2 linked regions of the Cricetulus griseus genome follow. The protein of the gene in region 1 interacts with the protein of each later gene in a biochemical or structural test. Links are inferred from orthologs where the notes say so. Each region holds a gene or a part of one and is shown in the gene's direction. Other genes may lie near its edges.

Region 1 (7,003 bases):
CTATTCTACAGCACACCTGTAGAAGTCAGGTGATGACTATCAGGGATCTATTCTCTCCTTTTTCTACCTTTGTGTAGTTTTCAGAGAATTAAAGGTTTTCAGACCAGCCTGGGCTACATGAACCCTAGCTCAAACAATCAAAACCAGAGTCAGGTGGACGTGATGGTGCACATTTTTTTTTTTTTTTGCGAGACAGGGTTTCTCTGTGGCTTTGGAGGCTGTCCTGGAACTAGCTCTTGTAGACCAAACTCACAGAGAGCCGCCTGCCTCTGCCTCCCGAGTGCTGGGATTAAAGGTGTGCGCCACCAACGCCCAGCTGGTTGTACATGCTTTTAATCCTAGTGCTTTGAAGGCAGAGGCAGGTGGATCTCTGAGTTTGAGGTCAGCTTGGTCTATAGAGCAAGTTCCAGGACAGCTAGGGCTCCACACAGAAGCCCTGTCTTTAAAAAACCTAATAACAACAACAATAATAAACAATAAATTATTTGGTTTATTTGGTTTGGTTCCCAGCACCCATATGACAGTTCATAGTAGTCTGTAACTCCAGTTCGAGGGAGATCCAAAGCCATCTTCTGACCTTGAGTGGCACCAGGCACACATGTGGTACACATAATATATCTTGGCAAAAGGATCATACAAATAATATTTTAAAAATTAATCTAAAAAGCAAATCCCAAGACCAGATTAAAACAATGAGACTGGCTGTAGCTCAGCGGCAGAGGTTTGCCCAGCATGTTAAGTTTTGGTTCCATCCTCAAACCACCAAATACAGAGAAAATTCTAAGAACCTCCCTAGCAGCCTGGCAGTGGTGGTACACGCCTTTAATCCCAGCTCTTAGGAGGCAGAGGCAGGCAGATCTCTGTGATTTTTGAGCCCGGCCTGGTCGAAAGAGTGAGTTCCAGGACAGACAAGGCTACACAAAGAAACCCTGTCTTGACAAAAAACAACCAAACAAGTTTTGTTTATTACTTACTGTCAAGGTAGGTCCTGTGATCCCAGCTACTAGATACAAGAATTATGTTTGAAAAAAAAAGAAATAAAGGGGAGTTTAGAGGATATTAGCAGCTGGAGTAGGCTTTATTTTATCTGGTTATTTTCTCTCAGTATTTGACTGCACCATGATCAGGTTGTAGCACCCAGCAACACAGTGACCAGAGTTCCAGACAATGCAGATAACATGCTTCAAGACCGGGTTTTTGTAGCTAAGGATGGGGAAGGGAGAAGAACAAAGGGCAGAATGGAGAAGTTTACCTTTTCAGAACGCAGGGTCTGTTGTCTCTTTTGTATCATCTGTAATCCCCAAATAGCTGGCTTTCTGGAGCTATAAACTAAGGTTATGGCCAATGCTTTTTTTTTTTTTTTTTTTGGAGTAGTGATCTTTTACTAGGGAACCTGAGGCAGGAGACCAACTGAGTCCAGTGTATACAACGTAGGAGTAAAAGAGTTTTGTGTTTTTGTTTTTTTTTTTTTTAACTTTTTTTGTGTTGTTTTGTTTTTCGAGACAGGGTTTCTCTGTGTTGCTTTGGAGGCTGTCCTGGAACTCGCTCTGTAGCCCAGACTGGCCTCGAACTCACAGAGATCCACCTGCCTCGGCCTCCCCAGTGCTGGGATTAAAGGCGTGCACCACCAACACCCGGCTTTTTAATTTCTTTTTAAGGGTTAAAAAAAAGAGCTGGGCGTTGGTGGCGCATGCCTTTAATCCCAGCACTCAGTAGGAAGACGCAGGCGGATCTTTGTGAGATCGAGGCCAGCCTGGTCTCCAGAGCGAGTGCCAGGATAGGCTCCAAAGCTACACAGAAAAACCCTGTCTCGAAAAACCAAATAATAATAATAATAATAATAATAATAAATAAAAAATGAGCTAAGTAGTGGTGGCACATGCCTTGCCTGTCTCAAATCCCCCCAAAAAAGAAAAAAGGAAAAGAAAAGAAAAAAATCAAAACCAAAAAACAAACAAATTGGGTCAAGTGGTGACGGCAACACACCTTTAATCCCAACAATCATGAGGCAGAGGCAGGTGGATCTATGCCAGCCTGATCTACAGAACCAGCTCAATGGCAGTTAGGGCTACACAGAGAAACCCTGTCTGGAAAAAAAGCAACCAACCGACCCACCAGACAAGAGTCAAAAATTCTATGACAGCAGGAAACTACACTTTAAAAGGGTGGGGCACAAGCATGGGCAATTAACAGGCGGTTGCCAGTACTAAATATGGCAGCATCCTTTTAGCCCTACACTCACCTCACGTGACGGGCCAGGGCGGGGCCGCAGCTTAGCTCAGCCCCATAGGACACGCCCACTCCTGATTACCCAATGAACCTGAGGCTGCAGGCACGCCCTCTTTCACCCCTTTCACCAATAGCCGGCCGACAGCGTCCTTATAAACCAATCATCACTTTTTCCTCAGTTGAGTGATAAGTCAACGGCCCAGTGAGCAAGACCCGAGTCGGGCCGCAGACAGGAAGCGTTGCCGCTCGCGTCCAGGGGCGCGACGTACAACCAGACGGACGGCTCTCCTCGCAGCTCGCGGAGGCGAACCGGGCGACAGGTAAGTGGTGGGTCCCGAGCTCGGGGCCGCAAGTCGGGGCTGTGGGTTTGCTGAAGACGCCGCGGTGCAGCGGGAGGAGTGGGCGCGAGGCGGCAGGGCGGTTAGGAACCCACCTCGAGCTGGCGGCCGTTGGGCTCCCGCGCGCATGCGCCAGGGGCGGGCCAGCCGTTAGTGTGTCGGCTTCCGGGAACGGTGTTATGGCGGCCCTCGGAGGCCGGCCTGTGTATCGTGGCGGGATTGATGCAGAGGGCGGCCTCAGGCTGGGGTTCGGGTCGCAGCCGGACGACCCGGGCCCTCGTGGGCAGAGTCTGCAGTCACCTGCCTCCTGTCTTCCTTTGCCGCTTTCCCAGGAGGTTTCTCCTCCAGACTCGGGAGGCCGGTGTGGCGGCTCACAGGAGCCGGGTCTTTCACCCGGTGTCGCCTTCCCGGTGTGAGGCGGCTCAGCCCGGTTGCATCTCATCTTCTCTGGCCCTGATTGAAACTTTAGGTCTGGGATAGCCACTTCCTGGGTTCACTTGTTTCATTTTCTGTACCTGATGGAACCCAGGCCTGACGAATTTGTGGGTATCCGCTCCGAGTAGCACCCCAACTCGTTCCTGAAACATTTGGTGTATCCCATCTTTTTTTGTTGCTGTTGTTTTTTGTTTGTTTTTTGTGTTTTCTAGACAGGGTTTCTCTGTGTAGCTTTGGAGGCTGTCCTGGAACTCGCTCTGGAGACCAGACTGGCCTCGAACTCAGAGATTCGCCTGCCTCTGCCTCCCGAGTGCTGGGATTAAAGGCATGCACCACCAACGCTCAGCCCCATCTCGTGTTTTGAGACAGGATCTTTGTACACTGGAATTCACTATGAACTCAGTGAAATCCACTTGTGTCTGCCTCCGGAGCGCTGGGATTAAAGGCGTGCACCACTACGCTCGGCTTCACCTTTATCCCTTAACTAGGACAAGAAACGTTTTTAGATCTATACTGCCTCAAAACAGTACATATGTATGAGGGGGCCATAAGGTTCTCATGAAGTTGAGGCTGTCCTTGAATTTTTTATTCACGTGGGTGTGTGAATGACTGTGTGCAGGTGCTCTTGGAGGCCGGAAGAGGGACTCGAACCTCTACTTGGAGTTAGAAGGTGGTTGTGAACTGAAAAATCGCCCGAAAGCATCAAGCGTTTTAACCGGTCTGCCACACCTCTCTTGTCCTGAATGCCCAAGGTTTTTTTTTTTTTTTTTTTTTTATTGCTGAAATAAGATCTCTATGTAGCCTTGGCTGGCCTGGAGGTCACTGGAAAAATTGCCCAGGCAATTTTAAAGTTCATTTTAGTATAGACTGGGCATTTGGGGGGGGGGGCGGGGTTGAGATAGGAGGATCGGGAATTCAAGGCTGGCCTAGGTCCTGCATAAATCCCTTTCTCAAATAAAAATAGATACACCATCTTGGCCATTCACATGTTTGAGCCAGAGATGTCTGGTTCTACTCTACCCGGGGATGGCTCTGACCTATTTGGTGTCCTCCTTATTGCCCCTGGATAATTCTCTTTCCATGCCTGTTTTTCCCAGCTGTTGGCCTTATGCTCCACTCCATCTTGAGCAAATTCTTTTTTTGGAGGGGGTGCTGTTTGCGACAGGGTTTCTCTGTGGCTTTGGAGGCTGTCCTCCAACTAGCTCTTGTAGACCAGGCTGTTCTGGAACTCAGAGATCTGTCTCTGCCTCCAGAGTGCTGGGATTAAAGGTGTGTGCCATCCATGTTCTCCCCCCCCTCACACACACACTTTTTGTGTATGTGGTGTATTTGTCTATATCAGAGGGACAATTTGTCACTTCTATGTGGATTCTGGGGAATCCTGCCCTTTCCTACTGAGTAGTAACCTTTCTTGACTGGCAAATGAACCTGTCCCTTTGCTGCTGCAGTGGACTGGTGTAAGTTTGCCGCCTTAAGGCCCTAGTTGTAGTTCCAGTCATTTACCACCACTGCTGCTGACTGCCAGGTCCTCTTCTACATATGAGATCAGGTTGGCGAGATGAGTGTTTTTGTTTGCTTATTTTTCAAGACAGAATTTCTCTGTGTAGCCTTGGCATGGAATTCAATTTGTGGACCAGGCTGACCTTGAACTCAGATTTGCCCGCCTCTGCCTTCCGAGTGCTGGGCTCAAAGGTGTGTGCCACCACACCCAGCTAAGAAGGATTCTTTTAAATTGATGCTAACAGAAGTACACTTTTGGAGAATAAGCACCCAACTAAATGGTGCTGGAGAGGGGAGATCATGACCCATGCATGTGGTAAGGTGTGTGTGGGGGGTGGGGGGTTGTTGAGATAGGGAGATAACGTCTCACTATGTAGGCCTTGGCTGTGTAGACCAGGCTGACCCGAAACTCTTCAGGTCTGCTTGCATCTGTCCTGAATGCTGTTATTAAGGATGTTTGCCACCACCTGACATTTTGGAAATATTTTATTTGGCTGTGGTGATGGCAAATGGTGTATTATTATATTCACTCTGAGACCCTCCTCCCCCCAAGTGCTATAGAGCAAGTTCCAGGACAATCAGCTACACAGAGAAAATCCAACTCAAAAATTTACGTGTGACTCTTGCCTGCATGTGTGTGCCGTACACCACTTGAGTTGCCTGGTGCCCAAAGAGGCCAAAAGGCTTAGATCCCAGGAACTATTATAGTTGTGGATAGGTACTAGGAACCAAACTTGTGTTCTTTACAAAAGCAACAACTCCTGAGCCATTTCTGCAGGCCCAACCTCAGCCTGTTTTAAACAGCACAGTGATGAGAGCCAGATTTGATTTAGATGGAGTGCGTGCCTTCTGTGGGAGCTGTGTACTGGATAGGGATCAGTGGACACTGAGAGGCTGTAATCCAGACAGATGTTACCCAAACGGCCCCATGCGATATGCTTACAGGCAGGAAGATTGTGTGGCCATAAAAAGGAAAAAAATGTCTCATTAAAGACCAAGGGGAAGGCAGAGACAGGAGGATCTCTGAGTTCGAGACCAGCCTGGTCTACAAGAGCTAGTTCCACGACAACAGCCTCCAAAGCCACAGAGAAACCCTGTGTCCACCCCCCCCCCAAAAAAAAGACAAAGGGGACAAAAAAAGGAATGAAGTGCTGATTCGTGTTGTACTGTGGATGAGCGTTGAGAACGGTGCAGAGTGAAAGAATGGAAAAGTAAGGCCTCATGATGCTATTATAGAAAATGCTCAGAAAAGGCTAGTCTGCAGAGAGAGAAGCAGATTGATGGTTCTGGGAGTTCAGTGATGGCTAAAGGGTACAAAGGTAGTTTCACTTTGTGGTCTGGTGGATGAAATCCAGGGTCTCACATGCTGGGCATCTATCTCTGAGCCACACCCCCAGGCACAGAGACTCCTTTTTTTCTTTTTTTAAAGTATTTTTTGTGAATGCTTTGCCTGATATGCTTTATGCCTGTGGAGGCCAGAAGAGGACATTGGGTCTCCTGGAACTGGAGTTATGGGTGGTTGTGAACCACCATGTGGGCACCAGGAATCCAATCCTGATCCTCTGAAAGAACATGTGCTCTTAACCGTGGAGCCATCTCCAGCTCATCCAGAAGGTTGAATGTGCTGATGCCACCATGTTGGTTGGCTCCTGAATTGTTTACTTTGGTGAATCTTATAGCAGATAACTATTTCAATAAAGCTGTTCCAATTTTAAAGAAACAAAGAAAGGCAGCTTCAACTTGGGGCCAGCACGGTAGCCTATTGGAGAAGTGGCTAGGTAGATTTGCCTGGATTTGGTGAGTTGAATTCACTGGATGGGATTTGCTGCTCAGTCAAGACTATCTCAGAATGGAATGAATGAGATGGGGGATGTGGGCCTTGAGGAGAAACACAAGCTTTGTTGTAGGCCTCTTGGAGTTCAGCTCCTAAGGATAGGAGAAGGCAATTAGTAACTGGTCTGGAGTGAAAGTCATATAATTGGAGATAAAGTAGGGGAACCTTAGCAGAGAAATGGCCGAATTTGAGGCTGGAGAGATTGCTCAGTGATTAAGGGCACTAACTGCTCTTCCAGAGGCCCTGAGTTCAATTCCCAGCAACCACATGGCAGCTCACAACTGTTTGTGACTACAGTTCTAGGGAACCCAACACCCATAGCAAAACACCAGTGCATATAAAGTAAAAATAAAGAAATGGCTGAATTTGGATAAAGTCACAGAGGGAATACATAAGAGAGCCAGAAGTAGGTCCTAGTGTGTCAGCATCTGACTTCAGGAACTATTTCAGCAGACCAGGGAGGTCAAAAGACAAACCTGGATGGTGTATGCCTTGTACTTGGTGTTTGAGGGATTAATGAAGTGACAGGGAGCTTGTCTCCCGTGGATTCCATTTAGCATCTCAGCTGGCTGGCTTTCTTGCTTGCCTAGCCCAGTGGGAACCCTCTTCATAAAAGCACTTAATGATTCCCCAGTGTAGACCACAAACAGCAGGGGAGGCTGGGCAG
Region 2 (6,338 bases), on another chromosome or scaffold:
CATTCCTAGGAAACATAATCTCACAGCAAACTTAAAAAGTTTTTTAAAGTTGTTTCTATGTGTGGGCATTGTACATGTGATGCAGGTGGCAAAAGAGGCCCAAGGAGGAAAGAAGAGGTTGTTAAATTCCCTGTAGCTGAAGTTACAGGCAATTTTGAAACTGCTGATGTGGGTATCTTCTCTATTAGTTTTGTCAGTTACCCAACACTATATTGGTAAGTATATATTTTTACTGATTTAAAAAGTGTGTGAATTTCCTTCTTTGGTGATATAGATAGATCCTTTATTTAGTTAGTTCATTGTTGACATTAAGCCACCTAATGCATCAATCTAATTCTACAATGATTATTTTTTTAAAGATTTATTTATTATGTATACAGTGTTCTGCCTGCATGTGTGCCTGCAGGCCAGAAGAGGGCACCAGATCTCATTACAAATGGTTGTGAGCCACCATGTGGTTGCTGGGAGTTGAACTCAGGACCTCTAGAAGAGCCATCAGTGCTCTTAACCTCTGAGCCATCTCTCCAGCTCCCCTACAATGATTATTTTTATAGATGTTTGAATGGTATATTGTAATAATACTTTTGGGATAATAGGTGTTTATTATAGTCAGTTTTCTACCATTGTGACAAAATACCTGAGGCTGTGCTTTATAAAGAACAAAGATTTATTTACCAACTTTGGAGACCAAAAGTTCAATAATAGTGTTGTCCTGGTAACAGGCTCATAGTAAATTACATAATGGTGGCAGCAATTTTGAGGCTCCATTACATGGCAGGATCGAAGGCCAGAGGTTAGGGAGAGTTCAGGACAGGGTCTCATGTAATGAGTCCAAGCTGACCTGTGTTGGTGTTGAACTCCTGGTCTTCCTGCCTCCACTTCCCAAGTGCTGGATTACAGGCCCAAACCTGGCCACTCTTACTCTTTTCTATGGACCTGCTGTTTGGAGAAGTAACCAAAAGAACTATATTAATTCTTTCCTAGAATGAAGTGTCTCCTTTGATGTCCTAAACACTTCCCAGTAAGCTCCACATTTTGTGGGGGTAGAGGTGGGTGTTTTTGCTGGCCTTGAATTCTTGATCCTCCTGCTACTAGGTCAGGCTGCTCTACCTTTTGTTGTTGTTGTTTTGGTTTTTCAAGACAGGGTTTCTCAGTGTAGCTTTGTAGAGCAGGCTGGCCTTGAACTCACAGAGATCTGTCTGCCTCTGCCTCCCGAGTGCTGGGATTAAAGGCGAGTGCCTTTTAGTAGTCCCAGCACAACTACACTGAGAACCAGGCTTCTGACACAGAAACTGCTGGAAAGACACACTGTTACCATACCAGCCATAGCTGGTTGGGAGGGAGGACACTAGATTTTCTGATTGAAGATTGACCCCCCCATGTTGTTGGCAGAGTAATCTTTTGATTACAATTTTACTTAAGTGTGATTTTTTTTTTTCATTGTATGTTAGAAAGTCCTATTGTATATTGAATGTTAAAGGAAAACTAAGCTACCTTTGTAGATTCAGTGTCTTGGTCAGGGATAGTACTTGCAAGTTGGGAATTGACCATCATCATCATTTTCTCTTGTGGGAACCACCTCTTTTCATTCATAGGAATTTAAAAAGTTGTTTGTTTGTTTGTTCTTTTCCCAGCTTGCTGAACTAAAGCAAGAATGCCTTGCTCGTGGTTTAGAGACCAAGGGAATAAAACAGGATCTTATCAATAGGCTCCAGGCATATCTTGAAGAACATGGTGAGTACTTTGTGGGGGGACATGATGTGAGTGAAGCAATAAGTTTCAAGCTCTGACACTTAAAAGATTTCTTCCTTTCTTAGGTCATTGGTGATGTAAGGTCTAAATTAACAACATCAAGAAAACTTTTAGAGATGGCCATGGTGGCTCATGCCTCTAATCCTTGCACTTGGGAGGCAGAGGCAGGAGGATCGCCTCAAGTTCAAGGCCAATCTGATTTACAAAGTAAGAGTCTATCTCAAAAAAAAAAAAAATTAACAAAAAGTACTATTGGCTGAGCTGGATGTGGTAGTACATGTCTGTAATTCAGTACCCCATAGGCAGAGGCCTGAGAATCAGGAGTTTGAGGCCAGCCCAGGCTACAGAGTGAGACTCTGTCTCAACAAAACAAAACAAAAATATGTGTGTGTATTAAAATATTTTTGTTTTACCCTAAAGAGATAGGATCTTGTCTTGTTTCCTCTTGGCTGTGATTATTTTACCATGTTATTTAAAAATCAGCATGGAGGGGGCAGGAGAGATGGCTCAGTGGTTTAGAATATTTGTTGCTCTTGCAGAGGACTTGGATTCATTTCTAATCACTTACATTGTGGCTTACAACGATCTGTAACTCCAGTTCTAGGGGATCTGATGCCCTCTTCTGGTATACATGATGTATATACATAACATGCAGGAAAATACTCATATGTATAAAAAATAAAATAAGCAATATTTAAAAAATTAGCCAGTCCTGTAATCCCAGCTGCTTGAGAGGTTGAAGTAAGAGAATTAAGTTTGAAGCCCAATTGAGCAACTTGGTGAGGCTATACCTTAAAAAATAAATAAATAAATATATATGTATATATATATGTATGTATATATATATATTCATATGTGCATATATACATACATACATACATACATATGATGCTATCACTAGTTTAAGAGTTTGAAGGTGTTGGGCGCTGGTGGCACATGCCTTTTATCCCAGCACTTGGAAGGCACAGGCAGGTAGATCTCAGTGAGTTTGAGGCCGGCCTGGTCTACAAAGTGAGTTCCAGGATGTCCAGGACTGTTGCACAGAGAAACCTTGTCTTGAAAACCACCTCCGCCAAAACAAACAAACAAAGAAATAAATAAATAAATTTGAAGGCCTTAATTTTAGTCTATCTTGTGCAGAAGTTCACTAAATATGTTTGGACAGTCGCTGTTTACATAGCTTTCACAGTATCAAAAACAAGTGCCTGGACCCTTGAAATCCTTAACCTATGTAATCTCTGGCTCTTCCTAGACCTTATATCCCCCAATTCTATCTTGAAAATATAAAAAAGCACCCCTCTCACATAAGGTGCTTATTATCATCCCAGTTTGTACACATCTTTCTAAATTTTATTTATTCTCTTTTATTCCCATTCCTCATTTCACTTCCTTTCAATACTCTTAGACATCATTCTTACGTATCTGATATTCAAGCTACATTAAGGGGCTGGAGAGATGGCTCAGTGGATAAGAGTATTTGCTGTGCATGCATGAGGACCTGGCTTTCTGCCACCAGACTAGCTCCAGGTTCAATGAGATATCCCATCTCAAAGGAATAAGGTGGAGAGCAATCAAGCAGAACACCTTATGGCCTCCCCGTGTGCACATGTATACATACACCACACACATACTCATACAAAGAATCAACATATAAAATAAGATAGGTTGCTTAGTACAGTGTTAGTTTCTATCATTGGTAATGAGTTCATAGCCTTACGTTGTCTCACTTTTTTCTCTATTATTTTTTTAAGTTGTATCTAGTGGGTAAGGGTCTTGCTGCATAAGCATGTGGGCCTGAGTTAGTACCCATACAGGCTTCTAACCTCAGTCCTGGGGAGTAGCAGTGGGCAGATCCTGGAGCTTTATGACTGGAGAGCTCCAGGTTCAGTGAGAGACCCTGTCTCAAGGGTATGAAATAGACCATGTTAGAACAGGATGCTTAACCTTTTCTGGACTCCACACATACATAGGTGTACTCCCGTGCATATATACTCACACACATGCACAGAAACAAACTAAAACTTGTATCTGTGGCATGAGGTTTTGTGGTTATGTGGTTTATTCATTCCTAGAGTTGCATTCTGTGATATATAGGCACCACATTTAAAATTTTTTTTATTATATTTATGTGTATGTGTTTGTATATATGTACATATGCCATGGTGCACATCTCAAAGTCACATGACAACTTGCAGAGTCAGTTCTCTTCTTCTATCATGTGGTTCTTCTATCATGTGACTTCATGTTACCACACTTGGTAGCAAACATCTGAGCCATCTCACTAGCCAAGTCACCACGGTTTTTTGTTCCATTCCTTGATAGTAGTCACCTATATTTCCTCTAAGCCCTAGGGGATTTAATGACATTAGTATGTAATCATACATAGTACTATACATTATCTATTACTATATTGTTAGGATGTAATATTCTCTCTCTCTCTCTCTGTCTCTTTTTTTTTTTTTTTTTTTTTTTTCGAGACAGGGTTTCTCTGTGGCTTTGAAGGTTGTCCTGAACTAGCTCTTGTAGACCAGGTTGGTCTGGAACTCACAGAGATCTACCTGCCTCTGCCTCCCGAGTGCAGGGATTAAAGGCATGTACCACCAAAGCCCTGCTCTAGGATGTAATATTCTCTTATGAACTACTTTTCTCTATGTGCCTGTGAGATTATGTAGTCTCTATCCAGGTTAGGATTGTAATAATATATATATATATCCACAAATGTATAAATATTTAATATGATTTAGCACTGCCAGGTTGCTTCCTAAAATTGCTTTATAAATCTATATTCTTCATTAGGATATCAGGGTTCTTTTAACTTTTTTTGATTTTGTTTTGTTTTCTTGAGACAGAGTTTCTCTGTGTAACAGCCCTAGATGTGCTGGAACTAGCTCTGTAGATCAGGCTGGCTTTGACCTCACAGAGATCCTGAACTAGCTCTTGTAGACCAGGTTGGTCTGGAACTCCCAGAGATCTACCTGCCTCTGCCTCCCAAGTTCTGGGACTAAAGGTGTTGGCCACTACACCTGGCCAGTGTTCTTTTCTACTCTCTCTTTCTCTTTTTTTTTTTCCCATTTTTTTCAAGACAGGGTTTTTCTGTATAGCTTTGGTGGTGTTCTTTTCTTTAAAATATAAAAATATTTATTTTAAAAGGATTTCATTTGGGTCTAGAGAATTGGCTCACTGGTTAAGAGTGCTAGCTACTCTTGTAAGGACCCAAGTTCAATTCTCAGCACCCATATGACTGTTCACAACCATTTAGAACTCCAGTCCTGAGGGATGATGCCTCTTTTGGCCCCCGAGGGCACTATACACATGTACACAAACATACATGCTGGTAAAACACCCATATGCTTCAAAAAAAATTAAGTGAATTAAAAGAAAAGATATTTTTATTTCATTTGTAGGGGTGTGTGCCCGTATATATTAATGTACCGTGTATGTGCCTAGTGTCTGAGGAGGCCAGAAGAAGGAGAACTGGAGTTAAAATAAAGATGGATGGTTTGTGAGTGGTCATATGAGTGCTGGAAACCAAACCTTAACCACTAAGCCGTCTCTTCAGCCCACTCAGGGTTCTTTTATTTACACAAACCTGTATTTGGCATTATCCTATCAAGTGGCCTAGTTTTGCTAATTTGTTGGTCTTAATATACTTTTCTCCATGAGGAAAGTTTAAATGTCTCTCTTAAACTTTCTTTGTTCCTGATTCTGTGGGTTTGTTTTTGCCCACAAGTGCTAGAATTGCAGGCATGGGGCTACCTTGTTGGTTTTAAACACAAATATCTCTGTCATTGGTCTTTTATGTTTTTTCCCCTTGGTGTTCTTTAGTAGAAGTACGTAGTTTTGAAAATAATTTTTTCACCACCTGTGTGTGTGTGTGTGTGTGTGTGAGAGTGTGAGAGAGAGAGAGAGAGAGAGAGAGAGAGAGAGAGAGAGAGAGAAAGAGAGAGAGAGAGAGAGAGACAGACAGACAGACAGACAGACAGACACAGACACACAGAGAGAGAATGTACATGGAGAGAGAATGTACATGTGTTTGGGTGTCTGAGGAGGCCAGTAGAAGGTGTCAAATTCCTTGGTGCTGAGGTTACAGGTAGTGGAGTTGCTTGTTGGTCACTAGTGGCTGAGGCATCTTTCTAGTCTTCCACCATTTTCAAAGGTATTTTCTTGGTTATTCTGTAACACATTTTTTCTTTTTCTCTCTTGCTCTCTCTGCTTCTCACTCACTAGAGATCAACCCTGAGTATTGCTCTTAGGAGCCGTCCACCTCGTCATTTTACTCAGGCTCTGTCACTAGAATCTAGTTCTGCTTGGCTCCCCAGGTCTGGGGTTACAATGGTCCTCCAGCACCATACTTGAATTTTTATGTGGGTTCTGGGAATTGAACTGTGTTATCTTTACACATGCATGCACGCACGCACCTTTTTTGCTGCGTTTTTGAGACAAGATGTTATATAGCCCAAGCTGGCCTCTGTAGCTTCAAATGGTTTTGAGTTTACTGATTGTGTTGCCTCTATCTTCCCAAATGCTCTTCCAAATGCTGGGATTACAGGGCATGCACCACCATACCCTGTCCTAATTAGTTTTTT

Evidence for each region.
Region 2: the proteins of Ddx39a (region 1) and Sarnp form a complex in vitro, tested with the Homo sapiens proteins (2 studies listed by BioGRID). The link is inferred for Cricetulus griseus from reciprocal best matches to the Homo sapiens genes DDX39A and SARNP.

What each region holds. Positions count from the first base shown.
Region 1 is NC_048596.1:160,698,857-160,705,859, reverse strand, and holds the start of Ddx39a (ATP-dependent RNA helicase DDX39A), read left to right. Parts: upstream 1-2,392; 5' UTR 2,393-2,549; intron 2,550-7,003. UniProt on the Homo sapiens protein: Helicase that plays an essential role in mRNA export and is involved in multiple steps in RNA metabolism including alternative splicing. Regulates nuclear mRNA export to the cytoplasm through association with ECD.
Region 2 is NW_023276806.1:129,080,632-129,086,969, reverse strand, and holds part of Sarnp (SAP domain-containing ribonucleoprotein), read left to right. Parts: intron 1-1,001; exon of another isoform or gene 1,002-1,049; intron 1,050-1,634; coding exon 1,635-1,734; intron 1,735-1,817; coding exon of another isoform or gene 1,818-1,959; intron 1,960-6,338. UniProt on the Homo sapiens protein: Binds both single-stranded and double-stranded DNA with higher affinity for the single-stranded form. Specifically binds to scaffold/matrix attachment region DNA. Also binds single-stranded RNA. Enhances RNA unwinding activity of DDX39A.